Cricetulus griseus: one gene and its partner. The protein of the gene in region 1 purifies or fractionates together with the protein of each later gene. This does not show direct contact. Links are inferred from orthologs where the notes say so. Each region holds a gene or a part of one and is shown on either strand. Other genes may lie near its edges.

What was found.
Region 2: the proteins of Kcnq1 (region 1) and Nedd4l purify together in Homo sapiens (affinity purification with western blotting, with the first as the bait; 3 studies listed by BioGRID). This does not show direct contact. The link is inferred for Cricetulus griseus from reciprocal best matches to the Homo sapiens genes KCNQ1 and NEDD4L.

What each region holds. Positions count from the first base shown.
Region 1 is NC_048596.1:58,190,448-58,206,311, forward strand, and holds part of Kcnq1 (potassium voltage-gated channel subfamily KQT member 1), read right to left. Parts: intron 7,899-15,864; coding exon 7,772-7,898; intron 7,369-7,771; coding exon 7,290-7,368; intron 6,936-7,289; coding exon 6,839-6,935; intron 6,166-6,838; coding exon 6,025-6,165; intron 1-6,024. UniProt on the Homo sapiens protein: Pore-forming subunit of the voltage-gated potassium (Kv) channel involved in the regulation of cardiomyocyte excitability and important in normal development and functions of myocardium, inner ear, stomach and colon.
Region 2 is NC_048595.1:174,061,948-174,077,677, forward strand, and holds the end of Nedd4l (E3 ubiquitin-protein ligase NEDD4-like), read right to left. Parts: intron 14,329-15,730; coding exon 14,233-14,328; intron 12,360-14,232; coding exon 12,286-12,359; intron 9,571-12,285; coding exon 9,510-9,570; intron 7,932-9,509; coding exon 7,872-7,931; intron 6,651-7,871; coding exon 6,543-6,650; intron 5,107-6,542; coding exon 5,010-5,106; intron 4,485-5,009; coding exon 4,412-4,484; intron 2,231-4,411; coding exon 2,128-2,230; 3' UTR 1,820-2,127; downstream 1-1,819. UniProt on the Homo sapiens protein: E3 ubiquitin-protein ligase that mediates the polyubiquitination of lysine and cysteine residues on target proteins and is thereby implicated in the regulation of various signaling pathways including autophagy, innate immunity or DNA repair.

The DNA of each region.
Region 1 (15,864 bases):
TATGGGAGTCAAAGGTGACTAGAGGATACACGTGAGTGGATATGGGGATAGGTGCTCACAGCACAGGCAAGCACTCTGAGCAACTACAGCAGCGGAGCAGAGGACAAGGACAGCAGGAGTAACCCCACAGTGCCAAGTTTGTCATTCTGGCCAATATGCTAACAGGTCATGAAACAACATGTTAATTTCCCTGGCTGGCAAACAACAGAATAAGCCACAGTTGGGGCCAAGCCACCATTGGGCCAGCCCTTCAGTGCTGCACCAGGCTGTAGAGGCTGCATACTGGTGTTTCCCACAACTGCCCACATGGAATCTTCCCCACAGTGTCATTATCCTTAAACAAACCCACACCCTACACAAACAGAGGGCATAGCAAACCATTCATGGCTGGGCCCTTTTAAGGGACCACCCTGTTCTACATATGTGGCCATACAGTTGTAAACGTGCCTCACATGGAGACAGGGACACCCGCTTGCACTTGAATACACAATTGGGAGCACACACTGCTGACAGAGCTGAGGGACCATGAGGATGTACATAAGTTCACAAAGAGGTCTAGAGGTCACACCCATGTATGACAGCCAGGGCACATGCTTCCCAGACATCTTATATGCACACACACCTGAAACAGCTCAGATCATGTAAGTTGAAGTCAAGCCACTCCTGGGATTGAGGGCATGGCTGCCAGCAGGCTGCTGGATGAGAGGGCCCAAGGGAGCTGAAGCTCCTCGCTAGTGGTGTCTTCCCAGAGGGCCTGCACCCCACATGTGAGAGCTGGCTCACAGCTGCCTTCTCTAGGGAGCCAGGCTCATGTCAGGAGCTACTTATAAAGGCAGGCCTGGGCTGCAGCCAGCAAGAGTTCAAGGTCATCTGGGATATATAGTTTGTTTGAGGCTAGTCTGGGCTACATGAAACCCAGTCCCCACCCCACCCCCAAAAAAGGGGGAAGAAAGGAAGGAAAACATCTATAAAGGTAATGGTCTAGATGGCAAGCTGGGAAGAAACATAGGTGAATGGGGAGGAAACACTTGTGCAGCAGAGACCTGAGGCCATGCCCATGCCTTTTCCCTAAGGTCTTAACTGCCCCCTTCACTTCTAGGATCAGCAGAAGAAAGACTCCAGTGCAGTGCTGGCCAGTCCCCTGTTGGAGATCACCTAAACTACTAGGACCCTTGTCCTTCTCCTGGGCCACCACAGACCTCCTAGTCCAGTTCATGAGTCTTCACTCCCAGGTGGCCTGTCTCTGTCAAGTTGTTTTTTCCTGTAATCACAGAAACAGCAACTCAGGAATGAGACATTTTATAGAGCTGTCTAGAACTTGTATGCCACAGCCAGATCTGCAAGTCTCCTGGACCAATGAACATAGGAGACCTTTCTAGGACCCAACCAATAGTAGATCACCTGAACCATACCCACTTGAGTTCACAGATCACTGGCCCAGGGACAGAACCTGTGGGGCAGCTATGGTTCATGGTCCCCCTCATCCTCCTGAACAGGCTCCCAAGAGACTGGAAGGATTTCTGGAACTACTGGTACCTGATTTCCTGAACTTCTGGTCTCTGACTTCCAGAACCAGTGGCACCTGATTTCCAGAACTAGTGGTACCTGACTTCTGGAACTAGGGGTACCTGACTTCCAGAACCAGTGGTGGTACCTGACTTCCGGAACTAGTAGTCCCTGACTTCTGGAACTAGTGGTACCTAATCCTCTCCTTTTGAGTCTGGAGGTGGTCTTTCCCAGAATCTCTGATCACAATCATTGCTAGAGGTCAGCTTCCTTCCCGTTCACTGACTTAACCCCTATTTATACTTATGGATTAGGTGTGCCCAAAGAGTCTAGTTGACATACCCAGGGTCACACAGCTGATGTTTGTGGACATGGAATGTGAGTACAGCTTGGTCTCTATGTCGGCCTCACATTGTGTCACCCCTGTACCTCTATGTTTCACTACTTTCTGATGTTGTCTGCTTCCTGCAGGATATCTGGGAAACTCTATCGCTGAAACTTGTACAGGCACCTCCTCGATGGCATGAGCTAAAACCCTGTGTACTACCATCACCAGACCTGCTGAATCTATGTAACACATCTTGTAGGCACTGGCTACTGAACAACAACCACAAGAAGGGCATGCTTTATAGACTCCTAGTAATCCTATAAAGATCCCTCCTTGGGGAGAGCTAGCAAGGGTCCTAGCAGGCCCTCAACCTTTGCTGCATGATACTCATAGAACCTACATAGAAGAGGAAAAGGCTGAGAGCTTCAAGCCCTGGCCCCTGCTCTGGCTTTCATGTCTCCATAGTCAGAATAGTCCTGAAGAATGATGCCTCCCATGGAGAGTTCTACAAAGCTTGCATGTGACCGGCTAGGAGACCTCCTTACCCTGAGGCCCCTCTGGCCTGACTCTGCAGGATGCAGTCCAGTCTGGGAGGTGGGAACTTTCCAGAGTCTCCAGGTGAGGAATGAAGTGCTGTCAGACTGGGTTTTTTAGGGGAATTGAATACAGGGTGGGGTTCCAGCCTGCTCACTTGAAGTTCTGTGTTTATCCACTCGGGGTAAACAGAGCCCAGCAGCCGCTTGTTTTCAGAGACCCCCAGGCACTAAACAGAGGAGCTGTGTTTGCAGAAACGGCTTTTCCTGCACTCAAACCGTAATACAAACAAATGCATTCTGTCCCAGAGGTAAAGGAAAAGTCTGAGGAGCTCCCCAAACGCTTCACAGTCACACTTGAACACTACACTGGGGGGAGGGCAGGGTTCTGGGACCTCACACCAGAGGAAGGGGACACAGTCCCTTTGCTTTCCAGCTGTGGGAACCCATGGTCTGTGAAGACAGGCAACCCCACAAAATACTGGATACCTACATTCTGGACTTAAGTGTGTCCCCCACACAGCTCAACAACCCCCCCCCCCGCAACACACAGAGAGACTATGCTCTGATTCAGAATTATAGCCTTCCTTCTGGGTCCCCTGGATGGATTCTAATCCAGTGACATGTGTCCATGTGAAACATAAAGGAACAACACAGGATGCTCAGGCCACAGAAACCAGACTTAATAATGAAAGCCCCCTCCCCCAGAGCCTTCCAAGTGAGCATAGCTCTGCCCATGCCTCAGTCTCAAGACTCTGGTCTTCAAAGCTGTGGGTTCTCTACAGAACAGAACATACCGAATCCACCTGCTGGCAATGAACAGGCTGTCCTGCCTTAATTCATCTGGTTTACTTGCTCAGGGAACAAACACTAGCCAGCCAAGGACCCTCAGCTTCAACACAGCCTCTGAAGGCTAACAAAGTGAGAGGTGTTCCCACCCATACAGGCATGCCTCTGTGCCCAGTCCTATCTCACTGTACCTTAGGGGAAGCTAGTTCAGTTCCCGGGATCCAGCCGGATTGGGGACAGGGCTTGAGGCCTGACTTGGGGCAGATACAGCAGATAGTAGAGGGGTCTGGCCTTCAGAAAACTCTTTCACCTGTGGGTGCTCACACGCCCCCCCCTTATACAGATGAGACCAGGAGCAGGGTAGGGTGGGGCCATACTCCCCTTGAGGAATGAGAGGAGACAAAGGAGATGACTGTTCATTGGCACAAGGCTACAGAACTCTGAGCCCGGCTGCCCCTGTCCTGCAGCACTCAAGTTCTGATTACCCTAGAGGTGCCAGGAACACAGCCTTGGGCTGCTCCCACCAGACAGCTGCAGAGACAGCCGCTGAATGAATGGGGGCTGTTGGCCCCCTAAGCTGGGTGCTGGGGGGCCCGGCAGCCAAGGGCACAGGGCCTCATGGAAACAATGGCCAGTCCAGGGTGCGCTGTGGCCGAGGCCCGGGCTGCAGCTGACAGAGTAGGCCGGAGCACCGGTGCCAAGCTGGGCACAAAGGGGCCGTGTTCCCGGCCGGCGGGCGGATGTTTGCACAGGTGTGGGAGTGGGGGCGCCTCTCTGCCGAGGACTGGGGGGCCAGGGGCCAGGGGGCTGGGAAGCAGCTCCTACAGGAGGCTGGGAATGCAGGCAGGGCAGCACCAAGCCTGGGCACTGCTAAGGTTGGACACCACTTAACAGCCACACTGTGGGCAGTCACCCACTCACTTCCTGCTGTGTCTCAGCCAGCATTGCCCACCTCCCATCAGAGAGTTCTGACTTGGAGTAGCTTGCTCCCCTCCCCATGCAGGCCCAGCTACATCCCTGGGACGTGTCCCCCTACCACAGACAAGCTTCCTAACTGAGCCACTGAGTTCTCCTACCATTCCTGCTTATTCCTGTCATACCAGGGTATCTGGAGACTTTGACCCCCAGAATGGTTAGACAGAGATGAATCTTGGGTCCTATCCCAACCTGGGAGCTTGTCAGTATGTTCTTATCTTCCCTAAGTTGTTTAGAATGCTGGAAACTTCTGGAAAACAGACTGACTCAGCCTGTTAAGAGATCCTGCTGTGTGCCCTGCTTCCTGGGGGCACTACGGAATTGTGGGGACATGTGTTTGCCCTAGCTTCCAGTCCCCACTTTATCTAGAAGCTCTGAGAGTCAGCAGGCCTCAGAGACTGGTCATTCCTGGTTGGGGTGTTTGGGGCACTTAAACCATGGCCCAATGCAGCCACCACCACCATGTATGACTGCTTGCCCTGCACCACGTTCCCAGAGCCTGTGCTGTCCCTTTCTAGCCGTCACAATCTAACCAACCTTTTCACAAGCCTAGTGAGCTCCAAGGCCAACAGACTGAGAGTGCTGGTAGGATGGAGTTGGCTCTGGTATCCTCATGCCCACCCAGGGGCGCCAGCCCTGGCAGCTCCTCCAGGCATGATAGTTCCTCTTTGTATAACATCTAGACAGCCTATTGCCCTTACAGCTGAGGGGGTGAGATAGAATTAGAGTCAGGGGGAGTCCACAACTGCTCTGAACTGTGTGCTCCTGTCAGGTATTCATGTTCCCTATAGCTTAGGACTCCTCAACATTCAATGTGCAGACAAAGCCAGCTCTCAGAGGACCTGAAGGCCATGTGGAAGCCATCAAAATCTGGAGGACACTGACAGTCAGAAAACACCTTAAATTGCCTTAGCCAGAGGGTTTTAGACCCTGAGCAATGGTTCCAAGGTCATGGACCAGTGCTCTAAGAGTGTACCTGGATTTCTTCAGCACTATCCTCACCAGAACCTCTCTCTCCTCTGCCTGCTGACTTCTGGAGAGTGTCATATCCGACCCCCAACACACACACACACACACACAGAGAGAGAGAGAGAGAGGGGGGGGGAGGGAGGGAGGGAGAGAGGGAGGGAGGGAGAGAGGGAGAGAGAGAGAGAGAGAGAGAGAGAGAGAGAGAGAGAGAGAGAGAGAGAAGCCTGCACACAATATCACTACACCTTAGGACAGTCAGTCCTAGCATGAGAGGTCATCTGTCACACACCAGGCTCTACACAGACTGGTAACTCAGTAGTTTTGGAGTCGCCCTATCCCAGGAGGCCTATGACCATCTTCATAACCTTAGGGCCTGGCTGTCACTCACACCATTGCTGCCTGAAGCAGTGAAGGACTGTGCAGACCTCACATCCACAGAAACCCCTGCTTCTTTCTCGCAGCCCCCAAGGACCATGATGGTATTATGTCATCTCATGCCTTGATCCCTGGCACAGGTGTGTTCCCTGGGTCAGCACAGACACCAAAGACATGTAAAGTATGCATTTGACCCCTCCCTGAACTCTGAGCCCAGGATCCCTCCAGGGTAAAGATCACCACACAATTGAGGTACCAAGCGCCACTATGCACTCCCTTGTCCCATCAGCCTTCCCTTCCAAAACAGAAGGTAAAAGACAACAATGTTCAAATTGCAAGGCTGAGACCAGGGAACATTCACTGTAGTACACAGGGACCCATACTGTAGGCTTTAAGTGCAAATTGTGTGGGTGAAAAGTGCAAATTGTGTAGCAGCCTCAGTGGAGGAGGCAAAACAAAATGGAGCAAGTAGAGCCCAATACCCTAACCCTGCTGCCCAGATCCATATGTTTCCCACCTGAGACACCCCAGCTAAAGATTCCAACTTACCACCCCCCACCACAGAGCATCTGCGTAGCTGCCAAACTCGATGCGGCCGGATTCGTTCACTGCATCTTTCTCAGCCAGGTAGACAAAGTAGGAGGAGAAGATAAGACCCAGAAAACCAATGTACAGGGTGGTGATCAGCTCCTGGGGACAGATAACACATCAGCCATGCTCACATACCCTATGGTGAGAGAAGTGCCTTGGTAGAAAGCTCCAGCATTTGTTAGATTATACTATGTTGGCTACAGCATGCTATACATGCAGAAATCACCTTCCAGAGTAACCCAGTTTTCAAAAATCCTGAAAGTGACAGATAATACCACTTGGCAGTGAGGCAGTCTCAGGCCTCATGCTGAATTGAGGTCCATGAAGCCTCCTCTATTTTCATGACAGGACAAACTGAGAGTCAGGTGTCCCCAGAAACCTCTTTCAGAAAGAATTCCCTCTGGAAGGTTATCTGAGACCCTCACCACTGCAACCATCCTTGATTTCTGAACTTCCTAAATCTGTTCTTCATCTTACATTTTCTATAGGGCCCAGTGGTATTTTGTCCCCAGCCTGAGGGAGGTGGCATTAGCTCTGCATCATTGGCAGGCCAAGTATGCTATCATTGTGGATGTGGAGTAGGTTCAGGCTGGGAAGGCTCTGGGGTTCTGGACCCTGTCCTCAGACCCACATATCTTGTGCTGAATCCTGGGTCACTCAGCTGGGGTCCAGGTGCTAGGTACCATCAACCTTGTATCCCGGCCTTGTGAATCTCCAGCCCTCCTGTTGTAGGTTGGCCAGCTTCTGTCCTGCCCATACCAGGCTCACTCACCTGACGGTGAATGAAGACCACAGATCCCAGAAGCCTCCAGGTACCCCCCTGGCGATCAACATGCAACATCCGCAGGATCTGAAGGAAGCGGATGCCCCTAAGAAGCAGGGAGAGAAGGGTTGAGAGGACCATGGTGGTCACAAGCATTTGCTGCCTATGTTCCTGTTCCCACTAAGCCTCCACTGGGTAGAGGAGACACACATATGTCACTCTGTAATGGGGCCATCTTGCTTCTTACAGGTGCCTGTGAACCCTGACTCCTAGGAAGTGCTAGGGTCAGGCCTTGAACCCAGGATTGCCTACTGTCTCAGTACTATGAACTATGGCCACCCTGCCGTTTCCCCACCCACCATGAAAGAACCAGGTAGAGGGATGGAAAGGCTACTACTTAAGAGGAGGGAGCTTTGTAGTAGGTCCTGTTTCACAGTGAGAAATGGAAGAGCCAACATACCTGATAGCCGATGTGGCGAACACTTGCCCTTTGGAACCCACACAGAGAACAACCATAGAGGCTACAACCACGATGAGGTCTGTGGGAGGGGCAGCTGGTCATTACTTCTGGCATCCAGAAATCTGGCGGGGGGAGGTATCACCACCCACTCCAGGTGACGTGACACTCAACCAAGATGGGACCCAACTATTAAGGGCACAGGAGCAATCTAGATGGGGGACATTCATGCGTGTGTCTTTACCCAAGACAGAGTAGACAGAGCCTAAATTCTGTCAAACCATGCTGAGCAAAAAGAGTCACATTGAAGCTGTGGCTCCAGTGCTGGGGGAGCTGGGCATAACTCCTGCTGGCCTTAGGGCCTGTCTTGTACAAGAATAATGTGTGGAGGAGTGTCTCAGTCCATAGGGACTCTGGGGATGACTGTAATGAAGGATGTCCTTCTGAACCCAGGAGTGTGGGGTAGGATGGGTAGGAGGACTCACCAATGATGGAAATGGGCTTCCGAGCAAAGCGCAGCCGGCCCCAGATGCCCACGTACTTGCTGCGGCAGCCTGCAGACCAGAGGCGGACCACATACTCTGTCCCAAAGAACACCACCAGGACGATCTCCTGAGGAAGATGGCAGTAAACTTGTATCAGAGGCTACCACCACTTAGGCTGGACCACCTATAGCAGGTTACCATGCCAGGAACCTCTGCTGAAGGATACTCAATACTAGCAGGCTCAGGTATCCATCTGTAATAACAGGTGGTACCTATCAGTAGCACCTGCCTGGAAAGGCCAATACACTAAGTCAGGGACCCTGATGGTGGATACTGGTCAGTTACAACTCTCTAGGGAAGACTCCTCACCAGGGTTGGGGGATAATGACTGAGTGTGATAACACAATGCTGTCCAGGTTGTCCAGCTTCATGGAATCCACAGAGCCCAAGCCCTGCACATGAAAGTGAGGGTTCAAAGATATGTCTTTGGAGGATTGCCCCCCTTACACCTCATAGATCTGCTCACTCTAGAGACACCATATCCACCAACTGTGGCCTTTACTGAGGTCTGGGTGCAAGAACCCAACCCATCCAGAGATGATAGAAGGAATAAAACAAAGGGCATGGGCAGCATAGACCAGGGCTCTCCTTGTATCCACATATGACCTCAAGTCACAGGGCTCTGAAAGGGAGGGGTCTATAAGCTAGAGGAACCCAGGCTATACTCTTGGCTACGTGGTAGATGAACAGATTGACAGAAAGGTGAATGGATAAATGAGTAGATGGGTGAGTGGATAGACAAATAGATACACGAGTGGATTGATAGATGAGTGAATGGAAGAGTGGGTGTATGAGGAGATGGGCAGATGAATAAGTGGGTAGATGGATGGTTGGTTGACTAAGTGAAGAGAAAGGCAAATAGACAGCAGATAAATACAGGTGAATGGTGTGAGAACCAAATTCAAAAACAAAGTGGAGCCATTAGCTCTCTCAGTAAAATCAACACCTAGACAGAGGTTCCCTGTCACTTGACTCAGCCTCTGACTACGATTTAGAATTCACCTAGCAGCAGTCTTGAGGCCTGCCCAGTCTCACAGTACTGGGTGAGAGCTACTGTGCTGCTTCCTGCTCACACAGCCTTGACACAAACTGAAGGAACACTCACTAAAGACCTGACAATCACCATGAGAGAGGTCAAGGTGAGGCTAGTAGGGCCTTGCTTTTGATCGGCACATAGTCTCCGTTTCTCTATCCTTCACTATCTGCCTCTTTGATGAAATACCCAAAGGCCTGTCATATGCACAATATCTGGAGGGTGAAGCAGTGGCTGGCTTGCACTGGGACAGTAATGGCAGGGAGCCTGACCTGGGGTGCCCATACTCTGCTGCCAGTCTGGGTTCTTTCCCAGCTCCTGCCACAGGGCTATTGTCACAGGGGCTGACTGTCCAGAGTGAGAATCCCCTTCCTGATTGCACCATTCCTGGGAAGCTCAGGTCTCACTCTTAGTCTCTCTATGGCCTGGAAATGTGAGTGGCCCATTGCAAGTGGGTGATTGGTGGATTTGATGTAAATGCATATTTCCTGGGAATTACATCCCATTCTGGCCCCCAAGGTCTTGAGCCCTATCCCAAACCTGTACCCCAGCTCCCAGCCAGCATTCATTGGTAAGAGGCCCTTGGGGAAGGCCTGGGGTGAGGAGGTGAAACCACTCCCACATATGTTAGGGGACTGTGCAAAGCCACAAACCCGCGAAGCCACAAAGCATTGTGCTGTTCAGGCCTGATTCCAGCTGGCTCCTTGCCTGCCTCCCTCAGGAGCCTGGCCCTGGAGGGGACTTCCTCTTTGACGGGTAACACTGGCTGGCCCTGCCCCCACCAGTGCCATGCCAGAGAGTCCGCCATGAGTGGGGGCTGAATACTGCCCACCATACACAAATGCTCTTAATTAAGACAAAATAGTATACCACCTGGCTCGTGTTTCAGGCAAGAGCAATGACTTGATGGTAGGCCTGGGAGAGATTCACACCTCCTTCCATGTGAGAAAAGCATTTGGCCCGTAGACTCATTGAGAATGGGGGAATATTTGGTGGCTAAGTGTGGGAGAGTAAGAGGGTGCTGGCAATGGTGGGCCCTGTTTGACTGAGCATACCAGGGAGGAACCATAGTCTCATTCACCCCAGTCAGTACTCACTATTAGCCTGTGGAATGAATGAATGAATGAATGAATGAATGAATGAGCAAATGAACAAACAAATCTGTGAACAGCTCGGTTGTAAGGATGTTGATTCATCTTTGTTTCTTGAGAACATGGGCCTGTAGGATTGATGCCCAAAGTACTGTATATATCTTTGGCCAACATGAAAAGCACACTCCCAGTCCCCACCACAGAATGTGACTTTATGGGAGAGAGCTTTTCTGACCATGAATGTCCCCATTAGGTAGTTACAGTGCTAGCTCAGGCAGCAGGCCTCTGTCCCAACTCCATGGGCCATCCATCACCCAGCTGGCTGGTCATCTAGTGCATTTTTCTCATTTAGATGTTTGTCATTACTCAAATACCTCCTTAGCAATGGCTTCTGTTGACTACAGGTGCCCCCTGACCTAATACTTGGAGGAAAACCCATTTGGGGATTGGCCCTGTGAAACGACAGGACCCCCTTACACAAATCTCCAAATCCTATTCAGCATGTGGACACAGTGTGAAGTCTGGCTTCAGAGAGCTTGGGCCCCATCATCCCCTGAAAATGTCTGGCTAGTTGTGTTCAGGGCAGGCAGGGCTGAGTTAATCAGTAGGGCTCAGTGGCTGGTAGGAAAGGGGCTGAGGAAAACAGCCCTGTCCCCGGGTGGGACACAGCCAGATCCATTGTTTGGACAGAGATAAAACAGTCTCCAACACCATCAGCTTTGCATGTATGCTGGAGCTAGGAGGGGTGGCCCTCGGATCAAAGGTCACACTGGGACTCCAGTAAGGGGTTGGCATTTGGCAGGAGTGTGTGTCTGTAGGAGACACACTGTAGGCAAGTTTGATTCAGGCAAAAGCACTCTAGTACACAACAGGGTTAGCAGAGGCTAGGTCAGCCTCTTTACAACAGACCAGTTGTTCTCCTAGCATGCTCACCTGTTCTGTACAAGTAATCCAAGTACAGTCCCAATGTTGAATGAGAGGCCTTAAACATCTCTACAGAACACTTAGATACCTGCTACTACCCTGTGCCCACTCCTACTCTCCACTTGATGTCAAAGGTTACCACCTACCCAAAAGCTCTCATGGCCCAGTGTACCCCAAGCTCCTTCCTAGACCCCAGGCACATCACATCTTCTGTTTTCCATGTCTTCAGAGGCTTGGTATGTCGGATATACTCTCCTAACCCCCGCTTCCTAACCTCTCCTGCTTAGGCCATCCCAGCACCCCTGAGTTTTGGAAGAGCTAACTAAACATCAGTATATGCTCCCCCACCAATAAGAGTACCCGCCGAAAGTACCCAGCATTGTCCAACCCCCTAAAAGGCCTCCCAGAGGAATCCACATGCTGTCAGAATCAAGGACTCAAGGCCAGGGGACATTGATGGAGTGTGGCCCTGAGCTCTGTCCCAAAGACATAAAAGAAAGGGCTGTCCTTGGGCCAACGATCTTGGGCTGAGACAAAAGGCAAGAGAACACAGTGGCCCCTCCCACCCTGACCACTGTTCCTTGGACTAGAGCTAGGCTTAATCCTGGCTGCAGATGACTTCATGGCGGAGACTCCTGTGTTAGGGACAAACAGCAAGCATAGTACATGCAGCTTTTCTTGGATTCACCAAGGCAGGACCACCATGCCTCTTCTCACAAGAGGAAAGAAAGTCCATGACCAAGGACCCGTGGTAGGAATAGACAACTTGGGCCCAAGGCAGAGGATCTCATGGGCAGGGTGAAACATCACTCTCAGGTTTGGGAGTAGACTGTGGCAAGTGAGGCTAGCTGCCCTTCAGATGGTTTACTACTGACACATGAGCATGACTGGAAACACATGAGGAAAGATGAGGTTTGTGGAGCAGCTGAGAGTAGGAATAATGTATACAAGTTAGGGTCTTGTGGGATTAGAGACAGAAACCAAGATATATCTGAAAAGTGGCCTAGGATGGAGGATAGAGACATAAGAGCCAGTTACCAACCAGTTACCTGCTCTGTGACAGGAAATGTCCAGAGTCAGAATAGAAGATGAGCCCAGACCATGCAGGGGCCCCAGGACCTCATCCTGGTGATCATCTGTGCACGGCAGACCTAATGGTTATACGGGTGGGTGGGCTGGCTGTGAAGACCCCTGGGGAGGCAAGGGAACCCCAACTCTGACATACTGGCACTTGTTTCCTCTAGGTCATTGAGGAGTTGGAGAAAGACAGCAGAGGCCATATTGCCTGCTACCCATCCTGAAGCTCTGTCAGAGAAATGAGAGGGGGTGGTCTAGTGACATGCAAACACCAGTGCCAACAAAAGAGGTTTGGACAGGCTCTGAAAGGAACAATCCCAACAGTGTGCCCCTTGCAGGATGCTGTAGCCCGTCCCTTTCCCAACATGTGTGTCCCCACACACATGGTGCGCCCTCTGCCATGACCAGGAAGCAGACCCTAGCCACAGTCTGCTTATTTCCCATGTAGTAAGTGTTGAAAGCTGTATGTCAAAGCAGTGATCTACATACTTTAAAATTATTTTTTAAAACAAAGCTGAGGCTCAGTTGATGGTGTGCTTGCCTAGCATGCATGAAGCCCTGGGCTCCGTTCCCAGCACTGAATAAAACAGATGTGGTACTATGTAACTGGACTTCCAGCACTAGGGACACAGAGACAGGGAGATCAGAAGTTCAGGGTCATCCCTGGTTATGCAGAAAATTTGAAGCTACCCTAGGTTAAATGAGACTGTGTCTAAAACAAACAAACAAACAAAAAGCTACCAAAAGACAATGAAAAACATGTTATTCATAGCCATAGACATTCTATGTCACTAACTGTGGGAATACAAATCAAAACAGATACTGCTGTGTCCCTGCAGCCTGCAGGATGGCTATTAGCAAAACACAGGCAGTGACAGCAGTGGAAGAGGAGGCGGGGCTATCGCACATGGCTACCCGAGGGAGACACAAGATCCAAGATGCTGGGAGCATGGTTCATTGGTTCCCCAGGTCATGAAGCATGGAGTTACCACCCACTCAATTCTGCTCTAAACAAGGCTCCTTCTTAAAAAGAAAAAAGGAAAAAAGTAATAGCCCAGAAAAAAAATACAATTGCTAGACTGGAAAGGTAGTGCTCTAACAACTATACATAGTTGTTACAGCACTTGCCTGGGTGCATGCGGCCCTGGGTTCAATCCCCAGAATCACACAGAAATGCATCAATAAAAATAGAAAGTCTCTAAAAAAAATTTAAGATCTGTCCTAGAGCTCAGCAATTCTGCTTCAGGGTGACACCCAAGTGTAGGGAGACACCCTAGTCCCGCCCAATAGTCCCGGGTTAGTTTTGGATATTTTACATTACTAAGTTTTAATCCTCTTTTAGACTAAAAGGGGAATTGTAGGGAGACACCCTAGCCCCGCCCAATAGTCCTGGGACAGGTACCAAGTGGACCCGGGACTCGCCCATAAGGGCGTGGTGAAGGAAAGCCGGGGTGACTTAAGGGAGCTTCTTAAGGGGCTGCACGTGGGGACCCGGGCCCCTTTTGTTCTGGCCACGCTGGCTGGGTTCTATAACCTAGCTCTGGCCTGTGTTTTGCCTTGGTGTCTTCTTGAATAAAGAGACTTTAATCGTAACACCCAAGAGATAGGCAGGACTTTGAGGAGCTCTCTGTCCACTGTGTTTACTCTGGCAAGGTACACAATGGCCAAAGGCCACATCCCTCAAGAAGACAAATAAAAAAGGCTCCAGACCCAAGAGGACACATCTTTTTCCTTCAGAAAGAAGTGTACTCTAACACAGAATAGCATAGACCCGCTGTTGAGGCACAAACCCTGAAAGATCCCACCCCTAGTACAACTGCAGGCCCTTGAGTTGCCAAAACCACTGGGATGAAAAGCAGGATAAGGTGGTAGGGACTGAGGAGTCAGGGTTTAGCAGGACCACAGTTCATCTGTGAAGACAGAAATTCTCAAGATGGGTAGGTATGGGTAGGGACGGCTGCACAACACTGAATGAGCTTCAGGCTACTGAGCTGAACACTTGAATATAGCCAAGATGAGAGATCTTATGTCTTGCATATTTCAGAAAGGTAGCGATAGCAAGATGGCTCAGCAAGTAAAGGCACTTGCTGCCATCAAGCCTGTTAACTCTAGTTTGATCCCCAGACCCACGTGATGGAAGAACAAAACTGATTTCCTATAAGTTGTCTAACCTTCACATGCATGTTCAGATGCACACACACACACACACACACACACACACACACACACACACACACACACACGTACATGCACAATAAGGAAATAAATGTAATAAAATCAAGAGACAGGAAGGGAAGAGGGCATGGAGTCACAAGGCTTACAGGATCTATTGCCTGCAAAGTACCAAATGGATCCTTATCATGGCTTCCATCATGAGGCTAAGGGAGACAGTGGTGGAGCAAAGGCAGGAAGCAATCAAGGACTTGGGTTCTCCCTAATCTCATTTCACTACTGCAATGATGGAACAGGTTGATGCATGGGCTTAGTGGCACCCTTGAGCTCTGGATGCTCTCAGGGACACCCAGGCACAGATACACTGCCTCTGAAAAGTTCACAGTGGGAACGAAGTTTTTTCATTTGACAGATGGACACTCTTCCCCAAAACTGGACCCACGTGAGCTGCAAGAGATAGGAGACAAAAGCTCAGCATGACAGAATTTCTGACAGGCCTGGGAACACATGTCACATACAAATGCTCCCTACACATGTGCATCAGGTGCTTGGGGGTAACCACAGCAAAGCAACGATCTATCCACATTTGAGCCTGCAGGGCTGACATTAAAGTAAAGGAGGTGCTTTATCTGGATAAAGCTGTAGTGAACAGGAGAAAGGCCTGCACAAGGCTCACAGCCTCTTGGGCAGATCACTGAAGGTTGCAGGTATCTTATCTATTGTTTCATTTTATCAGCTAGTGAACCCATTTCTGGGAGGGTGAGGATCCAGCTTACCACAATCACTCATCTATGGGCCACAGCAAAACCAAGGCAGGGCAGATGGGCTCAGCTCAGCTGCCTCAGATCCTCAAAAGAAAGACTTTTTCCTCTCTCTCTCTCTCTCTCTCTCTCTCTCTCTCTCTCTCTCTCTTTCTCTCTCTCTTTTCCCCAACAATCAAGGGAACTCAAAGATGCTTATCAGGAGTATTCAGTGTCTCTGATGTTACTGTTTTATTATCTTTTTAAGAAAAGAATAATTTGAAAGCTGACTGGAAGATTAACTACTGCAGATGAAGGGTTGGCTTGGATGGGTAGGGGCCCGGCAAGAAGGCCAGCAAAGCCAGGCCATGAGGCCAAAGGCCTAGCTGGTCTCCCTGAGGCCCTCCAGACCCTGGGCAGGGCAAAGAGTACTAGATACCTCTAGGACCCTCTTAGATCACCATTCAGCATAGAGGTGCTGTAGGAAACTATGGCTTGGGTCCTACCATCCTCTCATAGCTAGGAAACCTGTAAAATGGCCATTTCCTGAGCCAGAGGGCTTCCTGTGGGAGGACAGTGCCCTCTCAGCACAAAGCCAGCCAGAAGACTTTGGGGCCAGCTGTTCTGACTCTACATGGGCCCCAATAAGCCATAGAGAGGGCCAGCCTTACATTCTCGGGAGGGGCAGCTGGCCGGAGGCTTGGTGCCGGCATGCAAGCTGCTCAAAGCACCCTTTGTTCAGGTCCTGCCTGTGGCCAGCTGCTCCCAGCCGCCGGCCTGTGCTGAGAACCCATGGGCCCCCCAGTGACATGTGCTGGGCACAGCTGGAGCCCTCAGGCCATGCTCACTGCCCACCCTTAGGAACATCAGCCCCCAAAGGCCACCAGCTAGTCCCAGGTGACAGAAAACATTCAGAGACTCTAAGGGGGTACAGAGTCAGGGTCCCACTGGCTGTAGATAGACCAGGAGCCTGTGGAGAAGTGGCCATATCTATAA
Region 2 (15,730 bases), on another chromosome or scaffold:
CCATTAGGTGGGTCCCAGGGATTGAATTCAGGCTGTCAGGCTTGGTGACAAGCACCCTGACTCACTGAGCCATCTTGCTGGCCCTTTTTGCATTTCTTTAAAATGCAGAAATGAATACTTTGTATTTAGTGAATAATGTGGTTCAATCTAGAGCCTACAGAGTTACAGAACCCCAGTTCTTAGAACAGATTTTGGTTTCTTCTTCAATCAAAATACACCTTGCAGCTCAGGCTTTGGCACACTCTGCAACAGAGAGATGGTTCTGGAGACAGAAGGTTATTAAAAAAAAGAAAAAGACCCCTGCCCCCAACATCTGTTAACCACAGGAGAAAAAAATATCTCACCAGAAGGCAAGAATAGAGATTGTTAATTGTTTTTATAATTACTCGATAGCATGTGGAAAAGAAGCCAAAGCTCAGCTTGGTAGGATTCTACCCTCTGGGGCTTCACCCATCAAGCCCATGGCTTCTTCATGGCACCCACAGCTGTGTAAACACGAGTAATTTCTTACATCAAAGGTCCTTCTTACATAGCAGAGATCACAGTCTTTTTTGTCATATTCACAACTGGCAAGAGATCAAAATACCCCATTGTCCCGTAACTTCCAGGACAGGGTCTAGGACATCGCAAGTTAAAGGGACAGCAGGGGTGCTGAACTCCCACACTGCCTCAGGCATCTTCTCAGAATACAACAGAATTCTGCAACAGAGACTTTACAAACTGTAGACACTTACATTCCTCCACCATTGCCAACCAGACAGCTTGAGCTCAATGGAACCCACCGGGTCTTCTAGCTCACTTTTAAACTAGCACACAATAGACATGACCTGGGGGGGGGGGCAGTACACAGTATCGAAGCATGCAAAATAGGTCATTATGCCACATGACTCGGCTAAGTGTATAGTAAGTAAATATGATTTGTCGAGTAGAAATTACAAAACAGTTGGAGAAGATTGGTGTGGAGGCTCAGCATAACATCTGGATTTACTAGCAGCCTAATTCACAATGGATAGATACTGCACCAGACAGATGTGTGCAGGGAGGAAGAAACAATCACATGTAATGTTTATGAGAAAAAAATGAAAAAAAAAACCCAAAAAAGATATGACCTGCATAAAGTGCCTTTGGAATTGCCACAGTTACAGCAAGAATGGTTTATTAGCTACTGTTTAGCCAACGGAGACAGAAGACCACTGACTCTGGCTTCCTCAGTTTTGAATCAAGCAGTGCCATTGGAAATGTCTCTATAAACACCAAAGAGAAAATATCATAGGAAGAGGCTGCATGGCGACAGGAAGGGTTAAGGGTTTCCGATGTGAAATGACAGTCCAACCCTGTCTTGAATGTGTGATGACACACGTCAATACTTCTAAGGAACAATGGTGTCATTCCTTTCAAGTTAACACAAAGATATCATGCTATGTTACAATTCTTCCAGCCTGTACCTAGTATCTAAATTTGTACAAAAAAGGGTAATATCCAGTTTATTTTCATTCTGAGCATGGAAAAAATTGTTAAACTTAATGTTCTATTTGAAATTCTTTCCAAGTATTGGTCTGTAGAAGGCTTTTGGAGAAAAATTAGTCTTCCAATTTTAATAAAGTAGAGGGCGGGAGTGTCAAAGTACTTCAAAAATAAAAATGTCACCGACATTAAGCTTGATATGAAATTCAAATACAAAAAAAATATGCTCACTTTTCCAAGTACATGAGACATCTTTAATTGTAATGAAATAAAATCTGAAAATCAGTCTAAATCATTTTAAAAAGTAAACATGAGTTTTGTAATACTATACCTGTATCGTGATTAATTCCATTCATTGTCATTAGAAAGTATGCAAAATATTTATTAAGGGCTTTGCCTGGAGAGGCACAACATAAATAGAACAAGTCTTCCTGAAATGTAATCAATGTACACGCCAACCAGTTGAGAATTGGTGGTGAAAGGGGGCGGCACTTGAGCTGGGGCTGCGTTCCCTGGCGGAACTTGGGTGCGGCCTGGACAAGCTGGCCTCCAGAGCCAGCCCAGGCAACTGCTTCTGCCACCGGCTCTGCAAAAGTCTGCTAGGCAAATGCAAAAGTGCACGCAGAACTTGCTGGAAGGGCAGTGCCCCCGATGCAGCGGGCCTTAATCCACCCCTTCAAAGCCTTGAGCATTCTCCACGGCCATGAGAAGTTTCTCCCGCAAATCTTCAAAGGTTTCGTATGGAGGTAAATCAAGGCGATTAAAGCTGCCAAAGGAATGGATAGTGGTGGTGAGTGGCTGCCTTCCTCCTTGTCATAGCAGCACTTTCTTGATTTGGCTAATGGGCATTGGCTGTTTGAGCAAGGGAATAATTAAAGAAAAAAAACAACCCATACTTTTATTACTCAAAGCAAAATTCTAGTTAGGAAAGTGTCTATGCCAAACAGGTTATACAGTCAATGGGGAAAACAAAACAGCCTTTCAACTGTCCATGACTACTCTGCTGCCAGGATGGAGACACAAAGACAAGACAATCACCAACAACCACAGAGAGACTAAAAATGTGGGCTGGTGAGATGCCTCAGCCTTGCAGGTGCTTGCAGGCTTCTGAGTTCAATGCCCAGAAGCCACGTAAAGACAGAAGGAGAGAATCAGAGTTGTCTTCTGACCACACTAGTAGTAGCATGTGCACCAAATGCTACACACACACACACACACACACACACACACACACACACACACACACACAGAGAGAGAGAGAGAGAGAGAGAGAGAGAGAGAGAGAGAGAGAGACTACACACATTATAATAATTAAAAAACCCCACCTTTTTAAAAAAGGAAAAAACCACCTTTTTTAAAAAAGAAAAGAAAACCCACGGAGCATGAGGCATGTACACTTCAGGAATGAAGAAAGGACAGACTGTTTCTCACACTATCACTGGTCCATCATGCATGCCTGAGCCAAGGGCTCTTCTGTAGGTGTGAAGCAGGTTAAGGATAGGTGTCCTGCACATGCGTATCCCTATGCAAGGAGGTGAAGCCAGGGAACCATGGGTCCCACTCCTAGGAATGGTGCAGATCCTAGAGCAGAGCCCAGGCTACCTGAGTTACAGAAAGCTAAGCCACCTCTGCTATCCAGTTGGCCACAATCTAGGTTCAGGGAGAGCCAGCTCAGAAGGCTTCCACTAGGGTGGGGCAGGTATAGCTCACCCTTTGAGAGTGTTATAGATGGATAGCCTCTGCAAGAAATCAAGCCCACTTGTTTACGGGTCAAGTTCAAACCCTGTCCCTGCCATCTTTGTGACGTTGGCCAGGTCATCTCATTTCTCTCAATCTGTCTGCTCAAATGTAAAAAGGCTGTTCACAGGACTAAGGGAGGGTCAAATCAGAATATATGCAGAAGAGGCTGGGAGCATGTGCTCGAAAGATGGTGACTACGGCAACTCACTCAATGTTCTGTCTTACCCAGTTCAAGAGCATTTAAAAAGGGTTTTTAGCCCTGAAAGGAAGCTGTTTGAATTCTGCAGACATCCTCCCCCAGGATAAAGACAGAGAACTGTGCACAGTGCCTGCTCCAATTTCAGTCTGGAAATCAGTGTGCATGGCAAAAGGACCACACAGGACAGACCATGCTGTTCCACGGAATCACAAATGGTTCTTCAGGTGAGGGAAGGGCACCCACAGCAGCCAGCTCCTCCACTACCAGGTTTTACAAAGGCTCTTACAGGCATTGTGGGTGAGAGAGGATGCTCATGTCAGCTCAGTGGGCTGTAGACCCTCACTGTGCTGAGAGAGGCGGGGGTGCACTCCCCCACTTCCTCCAAAGCAAGAGGGAAGGAAAAATCTGTGCAGAAACCTGGGACCCCCAACTGAGTTTGGACAAAAAAAGAGCTTGCTGAATGTTGCTTTAAAATCCACTGAGCCATGTCTGTCTCTGTGCTGGGTGTCCTGTGACTCTTCTAAGCTAATTAATGAGGCTTCTTCCTCCCTCTCCAGCCAGAGAAGACCTTCTGATGGTGTCACAGCCCATGGGTCACTTGCAGACTGTGTGAATAGAAGGGCTTTTAAATTGATGTTGCTATGGGGGAATTCTGTCCTTAATTTTATCTTTTAAACATCGTTGTGTGCATGTGTGTATTCCATAGCACGCATGTGGAAGTCAGAAGATAATCTGCTGGAGTTGGTTATCTCCACCATGTGGGTCCCAGTGATCCAACTGAGCTTATAAGGCTTGGATTCATTTATTTATATGTGTCTGAGTGTTTCGCCTACATGTATGTGTGCCATGTGTATACTGAAAATCAAATCTCCTGGAACTGGAGTTACAGATGGTTATGAGCCATGGAGGGACTGGGAATTGAACTCAAGTCCTCTTCAAAGAGCAACAAGTGCGTGTCCTTCACCACTGAGCCATTTTTCCAGGCCCCATGGGGATTTCATTACTTACCATGTGTGAGCTCTGGGCAGCTTTTCAGGACTACCCCATTGCTCTATTGTAAACAGCTGAGGACCATTGGAACCTGAGGGGGGTGGGAGGAGAGAAAAAGACAGAGATAAACAGGGCTTGAAGCAGGAGAACAAAGTTCTGGGGGGACTTAGTGGAAAGGGGAGGGGAGGAGCATCAGGGTGGGGCCTGCCCAGTGAGTCCTGTGGGAAATCCCCAGGTCTGCACTGCTATCTCCCCCCAGTACAGAACTGTACCAGGCGTGGCAGTGATGATACAGATGCAGCTGCTGCAGCCTCTCTGCTTTAGGGGAAAGTAATGCAATGTGAGCCTTGAAGTGCAGAGCAGAAAGGATCCTGAAAAATCTGGGTTTAAAAGCTGAACACAAAACTTGAACTATGCGAGGGCAGGGGAAGGGGGCGGGGGAAAAAGAAAGAAAAACGATAAAAGAGGAGAAACCTTCAAGCTGTCTGTGTAAACACTACCTGAACCCCTGCCTCTTCATCTCCATGGGTCTCTATGGAACTAATGTAGTTAAACTGATCTGGAAAGTGACCAAGGTCACAGCAGGACAGAGGGGCCTGGGACATGCCACACTCACCATAAAGTTCGGCAAATCCATTCATGGGTACTCGGGAGGTGCCTGTGACAAACTGTAGTAACCGGATCCGCTTCTCAGCATCCATCAGGAGCACAGCCTGCCAGAGGCAGAAGGTCATGACATCACCAGGCAGCACACAGCACACACTGTCATGATTTCACCATGCAGTACACCCTGCCATGACCTAGGCAGGCAACCAAATTCCCATTTACATTGCCATAGAATCACCTACACTATCGACTCTGAAAAATGGCACCGCCTCCCCCTTTTTGATGGTTGCTACAGCCCAGCCTCTCTAATATTAGAGTATCACTGGGTCCCATTTTTTCTTTTGCCAACAGGCCAAAATTAACAATATACAAAGAAAACTCTTTGGAGGGCCTCAAGCTCAGGTTTCTGGGTTTGAGGCCTGGGGTCTCCCTGAAGCTAGTTCTAACCAGGTGGTTTTCCAGAAGTATCTAAAACAAGAGGAAGCCAGGTGATATGGACACAGAAAGATCCCCAACGATACTTGATAAGCAGAAGGAAACCCCAGGTAAAAATGGGCCTTGGGACCAATCTGTGTGCCTCCCAGATCCTAACCACTGCAGGAATGGAGCCAGCCTTCCTGGACATATGATTTGATCTTCTATAATACAATCCAAAATCAAAGCCAAGTTACAGTCTTTGAAAAGTCTGGTTCCTTCTCTCTGTATTTTTACTGATACTTGAAATATTAATAACAGACCTTCAGAAGTTAAAACATGATAGTTGATTTCTTCTCATTTTTTTTTTTTTGTAAAATCAGCACCTATCAGTTTTAGTGGTGTACACCTTTATTTCTAGCACTTTGGAGGCAGAAGCAGGTGAATCTGTTTTGAGGCCAGGCAGGACAACACAGTGAGACCCTGTCTTAAATAAAAAATTGCTTGATAAGCAGTTTAGGCTGTCCTAGAACTTTCTGTGCATCTCAGGCCAGCCTCAAATTCACATTGTATTGGCTTGGGCGTATGAGTGATACCTGGAGTTTAGGTGTATGCTATCATGCAAGGCTGATTCCCCCTTTTCTTGTATGTAAATAATCTCTTATTTTTTAAAAATGTTTAGTTTACTGTCTTTGCCAATCCTTCTCCAAGCCCAACAGAATACAAACATTGGCCCTTAAGACAGCAAATGAGATTTAATTTGCATCTCAGGTTGCAATATATAAAAATCAAAATGGTTATTGGAATAAAAAAGTGTTGACGTTGGGTGGTGGTGGTACACACCTTTACTCCCAGCACTAGGGAGGCAGAGACAGATGGATCTCTGAGTTTGAGGCCAGCCTGGTCTACAGAGCAATTTCCAGGACAGCCAAGGCTACACAGAGAAACCCTGTCTCTGAAAAAGAAAAAAAAAAAAGAAAGAAAAGTCCAGAAAATGACTTCTACACATGGATGAGGCAGCTTGAAGGCATTACTATTCCCAAAGAAGCTTCCGTTCTGATTTCCCCCAAGAGGCCTGATTTGGAGGAAGAGCCTGAAGCAGAGGTTGGGCCTAGAGTGCTGCAGTTACCTTCCAGAACCACTGGATGACAGGATGATTGGGGCAGTAGCCATTCTTGTAAATAGAATGCTGTCTCCAGTCATTAACGTCGACATCTCCAAGGCCACACATCAGCAACTAGTAAGGAAATTGAGCAGATGTAAATGAGGTGGGCTATGCAAGGTGAGAACTCTCTCTTCTCTGTGCTGGTGTGTATAACTGGACAAGCAGGTAAGCCAGCAGTTCAAGGGGGGTGAGGGAAGGGTAGAGGGATGGATTGAAGGAGGGAGGGAGGGAGGAAGGGAAAGAGAGAGAGGTTTTCTCAATTGACCTGCATGCAAGAGCTGGACTACATTGGTTATCTTTCCAGCCCATGTGCTCAGGCACACTGCTGTAGAGTCCCCTGTACTGCATTAGCAGATACATAGGATTCTTTCTATTACTTGTCCCCATGACAGCAAGAACTTATCCCCCCAGATGGGTTAATTCAGGTGACAACCTCATCCTTCCAGCATCCTGTGGGTGCCCAGGCAGGAACTAGTCCCCTGAATCAGTACTTGCCTAGAGTTTGTTCTTATCATAAGAGTTTCCAATGAATATGATAGGAAGAAAACCATTCCCAAAGCCTGAAAACTGATTCCTAGGCCTCTGGGACCAGCCTGGCTGAGTCATCTTGCGAGGTCATTCACTTCTCACAGCCTCTATAAACTTGTAGTGCCTGCGCTACAAAATTTTCATGACACTCATCTTGAAACTTCCACTTTAAATTCTCTGAGACATGCTTTGTTGGACATGGGTTTGGAGAGACCAGCTGTGGACAGATGCAGCCTCCTTCCTTCTGTGCCTTGACACAACCCAAGGTGAGATGTGTTTTTGGTTTTCAAGTTGCTCTCTCCCTCATCTCCATCGAAGCTGAGAAGCTGAGATGGACGTTCATCAAACACTTCCTGCTACTACCCAGTGGCCTCCTACAATCCTTATTCAATACATGCCACTTCAAGTTCAAGGTCCCGTCTCCTTTACAGACTCTGGAAAAGGAGTACAGCTATAGTGTGGCCAAGTCCTACAACGACCTGCCAAGGTGGAGACTGGGCTGCAACAAAGGGCTCTGGCTCAGCCTGGTTACGCAGTCTGCTTGGCCTGAGCAGCTCATTAGAAGTGCTTACAACTGCCCTGTCACAGGCAACAAATTCACTTGGCTACTATTGCTAGCCTCCCCAGGCTAGCCCGAAGACAGGCCTTGGAATAGAGCATTCAATATGTCATGTGCTAGAGCATACAAAAAATGTCATTTGCAAAGTAAAGAGATACTTAAAATCATCTACTTTATGTATAAAATATGATGCTGATCAAACAAACCTCCAGTTCGTTTTCATCAAAAATTTTAATCAAATCGATTGGAAGAAGTTCTGTAAATCCCTGAAAGGAAAAGATAAAAACATCTTAAGCACCTTTTTTTTTTCTTTGAAAAAGAACAATTTCATAGGTAGAGGTCAGCCAGAGAAGGCTCGCTCTTCCGCTGGCTCACGTAGCAGGGACCGTGTCAGGTGACCACAATCCCAACAAAATCCCAAGTCATGAATAGGGGCTTGAAAATGAGTACAGTCTAGAAGCTTCCAGGACTTGCACATTTTTTGCAACTCTGTGATACTAGGGACACTGTAGGCAGGTGGATTGCAAAGGCAACTTATGACACACTTTCGTGAGTCAGTGTGTCCTAAAATGTATAGACTGCAAACGTATAAGAGACACATTTAAAAATAGCTGACGGCATGGGTGGAGGAGAGACGGAAGCAGCATCAGCCAGCACAGAGAACTGACAGAACAGCAAGCCAGGCTCTGTCCTGGGCTGTCATTAATTACGGGGTGACCCAGGAAGAAATTTTAGATGCTGTGGCTCCTGAAAGCTGGGCAGGGCTGGGAATCTGAAAGCTGGGTGGGGCTGGGAATTTGCTTCCTGGGATTTCTCCCTTAAATACAATGCAAAAGGTGCCATAACCAAGTTCACCTTTGCACCTTATGTCCCCCAGCCCTGGCATAGTTGCACTTCCTGCTCAGGGGAGGGCCATCTTCATGATGTGCAGGTCACTGAGCTTGAGAACTATTCCATGAAAGAGGGCCCTAGAAATGAATACCATGGGGTTTGGGCTTCTCCCTTCAAAATTTATTTCTTATGTGTGTTCATGCATACATGGAAGTTGGAGGACAACCTGTAAGACCTGGTTCTCTCCTTCTACCAGTGGCACTTGGGGTTTGAACTCGGGTAATCAGACTTAGCGGCTACAAGCATCTTTACTTGATTCCATCACAGGGACAAAGCTGGTATTTGGATATAACATTAAAAACCCAGAGCATGAAAAGGGGAGACTCTGTGGGAAGTTCAGTGTCACAGAAGTGAGGACTCTGTGGGGAAAGTCTATGAGCCTGGCTTGGGTAAGGTCTGAATGAGAGGGCACTAATTTTGGAAGCACAGCAGCAGGCACCTCCTCTGGGCACTGCTAGAAGTTCCAGGTTTACGGCTCTAGACCAGGTATGAAAAATGTTTGGTTTAAATACGGTGGAAGTGCTAGTGAGCTGGTTCAGCCAGTAAATGTGCCGTTATCAAGCCTGAGGACCTGGGACCCACATCCGTCCCACAGAGACAACCACCTCTTTAGAGTTATCCTCTAATCCTCACCTGTGTGCACACATACATGAATAAATTCAAAAGAAACATAAGTGGAAGCCAGGCAGTATAATCCTAGCACCCAGGAAGCTGAGGCAGGACTACCATCAGCTCCAGGCCAGTGTATGCCATATAGACTTGGTCTCAAGCAAGCAAGGGACAATGCAGTCAAAACAAACTAAAAATGGAGAAAGGCAAAGCAAGAGAACACTTATAAAATGATGGTAGAGCATCATGGAACATTTCCACCTCAGGCAATGGCCAAGAGGGTCAGCTGCCTGTGCTGGCCTTCTGCACGCTGTCCCTGCCTTCACCCCATCAGCAGTGTTTACCTCCAAGAAGGCGTTCATTTGCTTCTGGACCCTGTTCACGAATCTCCACTGGATGACTAAGCTGTGAGAAAGAAAAAGGAATGCTTAGTCACCTCTGTCACCTTCCAGCCACGCTTTCTTTATCCTTGGGCCTGCTGCTCCTTAGGTGGAGTAAGCAGAGAATCCTGAACAATAGAAGGCAAGGTGGGGTGGGGCTTGCTATAGCACATCTGCTGAGAGACCCTCTATTCCTTTACATTTGTGAGAAATCTACACTCTCTCTGAGTACCTGGTCTGCTGGCCCTCATCCAGCCTCAGTGGATGCAAGTACTCCACAAACATGGTTTGATAAAGAAGGAAGAAACGGTGGGCTAAAGATGGATGGCTCAGCAGTTAAGAGCACTGGCTGCTCTTCCAGAGGACCCGGGTTTGACTTCCAGCACCCACATGGCAGTTTACACATGGGTAACTGTCTGTAAGTCTAGTCCCAGGGGATCTGACATCCTTTTCTTGTCTCCAAGGAACCCAGCCACACATTATGATACACAGACACATTCACAACACCCACACACATAAAAATAAAAAGTTAAAGATCTGTTAATAAAAAAGTCATAGGATGTGATTATACATATCCACATATTCACATGTATGTGTAAGTATGAACGTGTGTTTGTTAAGAGTAGTTCATCATACCATATATTATACACACTAATATTTAAAAATAATTTGTTTGAGATAGGGTCTGCCTCCCCAGTGCTGAGGTTAAAGGTGTGTGCTTCCATATCTGGCTCACACTAGTCCTTTTAATACTAAAGTTTAGAGATGACTGACAGAATTTGAAAGTCACTGAAACTGTCCCCAAGACAGTGTTCAGTGTGAGCAATCCGGATTCTGGCCTCATCTTCAAGGTGGCAACATGACAATAGCTTGAGTGGAGCAGCCTGCAGCACACAGCACTTGGCTGTATTGGCACCACAGGGCTAGGCCGCAATTCACTGCCCAGGAGTATTCTTCAAGTACCAGGGCACCACGGGGGTCAGTGAACAGTGGGGAGATTTTAGTCCTATATAGCTGAGACCCTGCCTGACCTTGGCCCATGTGACATATGTCCACATCCTCAGGCCTCAGCTATCCTGGGATGGATAATTTTTTTAAAGAACCACTTAACACCAGTACTTTACAAAGAAGGCCAGTGGTGCCTTCCGATAAAACTGACAATGGTCAGAACAAGGGTGCAATTAGCATGACAGACACGTATCACAGTACCTTACTTCTAGCTTATTTATTAAGTGCCATGAACTTTCATCTGAAAGTGACCAAAGCCAAACCAAACCAACTAAAAATCTCCCACAGGGGTTGAGGCTTCAGTGTCTTCCAGGTAAAGCCCACAAGACTTTCCTTTTCTTCCTGATTAGACAGACAGTTGGCTTTTCTTCACATTACACTAAATAGAAGACCCTAGCCTGTCCTCTGAATTCAAGCCACTGACCTATTTCAAATGAGGTTAGAGGAGGGCATTTATCTTGTTAAAAGGGAGTGCAGACTGTAAATGAGCTCAGTGTGGGCTGAACCCACAAACATACAGAAACCAGGACCTGTGAAGCAAACACGCCTACATTTCCCTCACTGGAGCCCAGGCTTAGTATAGAGTGCATCACAGAAGAGGCCAGAATTGTGTGTAATGGATTCAACCGAGAGTTCCTTCTGCCTTCTGGATGTCTAGGGTCCCTCAGGAGCTAGCCTTCCAGGACTCAACAATTTGTTCTACTAAATAAGTCTGAGATTGGGTTGACAGACAGCAACTATCAGAACTCACCACGTTTGTACTATTTCCCTCAGCTTCCAGTATGGACAAGTCAGGAGATAGGATATTTTCTTTTTGGCAATCCCTAATTCTATTCCATTAGCACTTAACATTCCCATGGTTGCAATTCTGAATTTCAGACAAGCCATCCATCCCCGGAGAGCACTTGCCACTTTACTATAATGGATACTCTTTCTTCTTGCTGCATTCTTCTAGGGGTAGTTCACTAAAGCCATGAGAGAAGGTACATTTCTCTCTCACATTCAATTGCCCAGTAGGCCAAGCAAAAAAGAAATTGCTGTTATTTAAATGGAGAAGCCAGTTGTGGTGCCACATGCCTTTAATCCCAGCACTTGGGGAGACAGAGGTATGTGGATGTCTGTGAGTTTGATGCCAGTCTCATCTACAGAGCAAATCCCAGGATAGTTAGACATACACAACAAATTGTCCTGTCTCAAAAACAAAAGCAAAACAAAACAAAAGTTCATATTTGTAGTATGCACGAGCAATTCTGGGAAAGGACAACAAACAAATAAGTCATTTAATTTCTTAAAGGTAAAAGTTACAGGGGCTGGGAAGATAGTTCAGCTGTTTAAGTGTTTGCTGAGCAACTGGACCTGTCTTCTGGTTCCCAACACTCATGAAACAAACAAACAAACAAACAAACAAACAAACAATCAAAGCCAGGCATGGTGGTGTGCCCCTTCTGCAGGGAGGTAGAGACAGCATGTCCATGGCACACACTGGCCAGGCTGCCCGGTGGAATCAATGAGCTCCAGGCTCATTGAGAGACCCCGTTTATTAAAAAAACAAAACAAAACAAAAAGGATAAGCAGTGATTGAGGAAGATACGACACTGACCTACACCCCAAGCATGCACACCTGCACACAGACAAATGAACACACATACCACACGCGCGCGCACGTGCGCACGCGCACACACACACACACACACACACACAAATAAAATGTAACAAATATGTGCATACATACTCAATATATTCTCTTTTGTTTTCATTCGTTACCATTATTTCAGACCCATTGGGCTTTAGATCCACTTGGTATGTCTGTAAGTACAGAGGAAAAAACAACAATCAAAGACATGAAGTTATTTAACATATTATTGAATAACATCTTACTATAAAAGGAAGAGAAGCAAAGTTCATTCAAAAATATATCCCAGCAATGGGCTCTGTGTACAGGAGTGTGTCCAATGAATCTTTCTAACTGTTCCAAGATGTTACCCATGTAAAGACATTATCATTAAGGCAATTATTTTATGGTTATTTATGAGTTTAATTATTCTCCATACATTAGCAACAACAAAGGGCAACAATTTCATGTGCTATTCATTTATCAAGAAATTAATTATGTTAAAGAAGAAAAATAAATGCCAGAGAACATCCGTCAAGCCCACAGAGATCCAAATTCCAATCAACCATCAAGCCCAGAGGTGCAAATTCCAGCATTCTGTTTGTTACTAGAAATCACGTTGCATAAAGAAGGACACATGGGATTTCTTTCAAGAGGCAAAATACAGGGACTTAAAAAAAAAACAAAAAAACAAAAACAAGGCCGGGTGTTGGTGGTGCAGGCCTTTAATCCCAGCACTCAGGAGGCCAGGATAGGCTCCAAAGCTATACAGAGAAACCCTGTCTCGAAAAAACAAAAACAAAAACAAAACAAAACTCAACTAATCAAACATCATTAGCATCATCAACAAAAACCAAGAAGGAAAGAAGAAAGGAAAGGCAGAAAGACACTTGCTTAAGAAGCCAGATAGAGATTATATGTTACTTTTTATAGGAGACCAGAGGAAAGCTCTCCTACCATGTGAGTCTCTGGGATCTATATCTGTTTTTTCCTTTTGGTAATAGTTTTTCTTTTAGAAATTATATGAATGATTTGTACAATATACAAATGTTTTCATATATTCCATGGTTGTCATATATACACCAGGATTGTCAGTTTATAAAGTAAATATCAAAATAGACTACACATCTAAAAGATGACATTCATTGTAGCTATTAAAACAGCACAGGATATTTACTGATATTTGCAGTGTATCTAATTCTACCTCTGGAAACAAACGCAAGCAAACTCTGTGTGCTTGCACAGAATAATTCGGGAAGATGTAGGTGAAATTTTTCATCATGATATTTCTTGAGCTGGTATTATCATGTAGAGCATATTTTTTGTGTGTGTTTATTATACTGAATTTATTTTTACTAGGAATCAACTAAATTGTTAGAATTGTTTTTGCAAGAAAGAGACTAGACTATTTGTGTTAAATAATGAGGCCATGACAATAAGGTGAGGCATGGGTGATCCTGCCAACTGGGTCGTCTCTGTCCGGTGGTGGAGAGAGCACACACAGCAGCCCGGGGAAGGTACTTTACTGCCCCAATCTTGAGCCTCCAGATCTCAGCAGCAGCTTCTTAGTGGCGCATTGCTACTCCGCTTCCCATTTCACTTATGCTATTAGCTGCCAGGGATGAAGTTTAGAGCACTTCCAGGGTCCCGTGACAACCACGACGTTGGTGCCACTGCTACCTCTTTGAATTCTTTGAGTGCCTGAGCTGAAGGGGTGTGCCAGAGGGCAAAACCATTCCTAGGATGCTAAAGCTGTATTATGTGGATGTATTTCCTGGACAGTCCCATACATCCACCTTTCTATTACTTGCATTCCCTCCATTCTTCAACCTTCCTATTTTCTAACACCACTGGACTGTATGTCATAGGGCTGGCAGCCCAAAGCAGCTCAGGCGACAGGCAGCCGAGCATTGAGGAAGTAGGGTGGAAGGCAGATGAAGGCTTTTCCAGATGATACGTATTCCCGTTAATGACAAGTTGAAAGTCTATGTGGTTGGTTAGTGGTCCAGCCATGCTCTGCTACAGCCCACAGCAAAGGAAACATGTTGAAGAGCTGGCCCCACATACCTGCCCAAAGTTCTCTTCATCTATGCAGAACATGAGGTCAAGTTCCGTGGGGTCATTTTCTAAGATCCACTTCAAAGAGTTGTAGTACTCGCTGTCCTATAGGAATGACACAGAGAGGAAAAGTGAACATCTGTTTTCAAAACACAAGCCTGTTTGGCTCCTTTACTAATAAACTCATTCCAATGTAATTCCATGCATAATACACCCAAGTGTGACACCACTCACCACAGTGTCAGGGAGTCTGCTCTACCAAAACCACTTCTTGTTTCTTTACTTAAAGATTTCCTTTGTAGCCGGGCATTGGTGGCACACGCCTTTAATCCTAGCACTCGGGAGGCAGAAGCAGTCGGATCTCTGTGAGTTTGAGGCCAGCCTGGTCTCCAGAGGGAGTGCCAGGACATCCTCCAAAGCAATACAGAGAAACCCTGTCTCGAAAAACAACAAAAAAACAAACAACAACAACAACAAAAAGATTTCCTTTATGCCTGCATGTGCACACACATGTGTTCAGGTGCCCATGAAGGCCAGCAGAGGGAGTCAGATCCTCTGAGGGGCAGTTAGTTGTGAGCCATGCTGGGAACCTAATTCCGGTCCTCTGCAAGAGCAGCACACATTCTTAACTACTGAGCCGCCTCTCTAGCCACATCTTCCCATTAGTTTAAAACACAAGAACTCTGGACAGTGACAGTATTTGTGACTTCTTCCTGTTCTCTATGGCTAAGGCTACCCACCTGCTTGGGAGGGCAGAGTAGTGAGACTCCTCAGGCACCACCCCACACCCCACAGGTCTTGTTGCCCCACAGTGGTCTCCAACACCTCTTCCTGACTCAGCCTCCAGGGGCTGGGATTATAGCCTGGCTACTTCGTTTGTGGCTATTCCATACCTGGCTCAGGTCCACAGAATTTAGCACCATGCCCTCCTGTCTTCTAAGAGTGAGACTATCAGAGAACAGGCAGGACAGTGTCTAACTAAACAGAACACATTTTGTGTTCTGTCCTTAACTGTTTTCCAAATGTTCTTTGCCCATTAATTTAAGCAAAAAGTAGGGCCGTGTTTCAGAAAATAGAAGCTGTGAGACCATCAGGTCCCCTCTGCTTATGCCCGGAGTCTATTGCTGAGAACATGACAGACTCAAAAGAAACCAAAAAAATAATGTGCACATCACATTTAAAACACTAATGTTTGGGCTGTAGAGATGGCTCAGCAGTCAAGAGTGTGTACTGCTCTTGTGGAGGGTCCAAGTTTGATCCCCAGCACCCACTGGGTAGCTCACAACCACCTGTAACTCCAACTCCAGGGCAAATCTGATGCTTCTAGCATCTATGGGCATCAGCATTCATTTGCATGTACTACTTACCCAATACACATAGTTAAAAATAAAATAAATACTCTAAACCCCCAAATACTAATAACCAATAGGAACCACAGACTTAAGCATTAAGAGCAATTTGTAGAGCAGGACAGTGTTGCACATCTATAGTCCCGGCACTTGGAGTA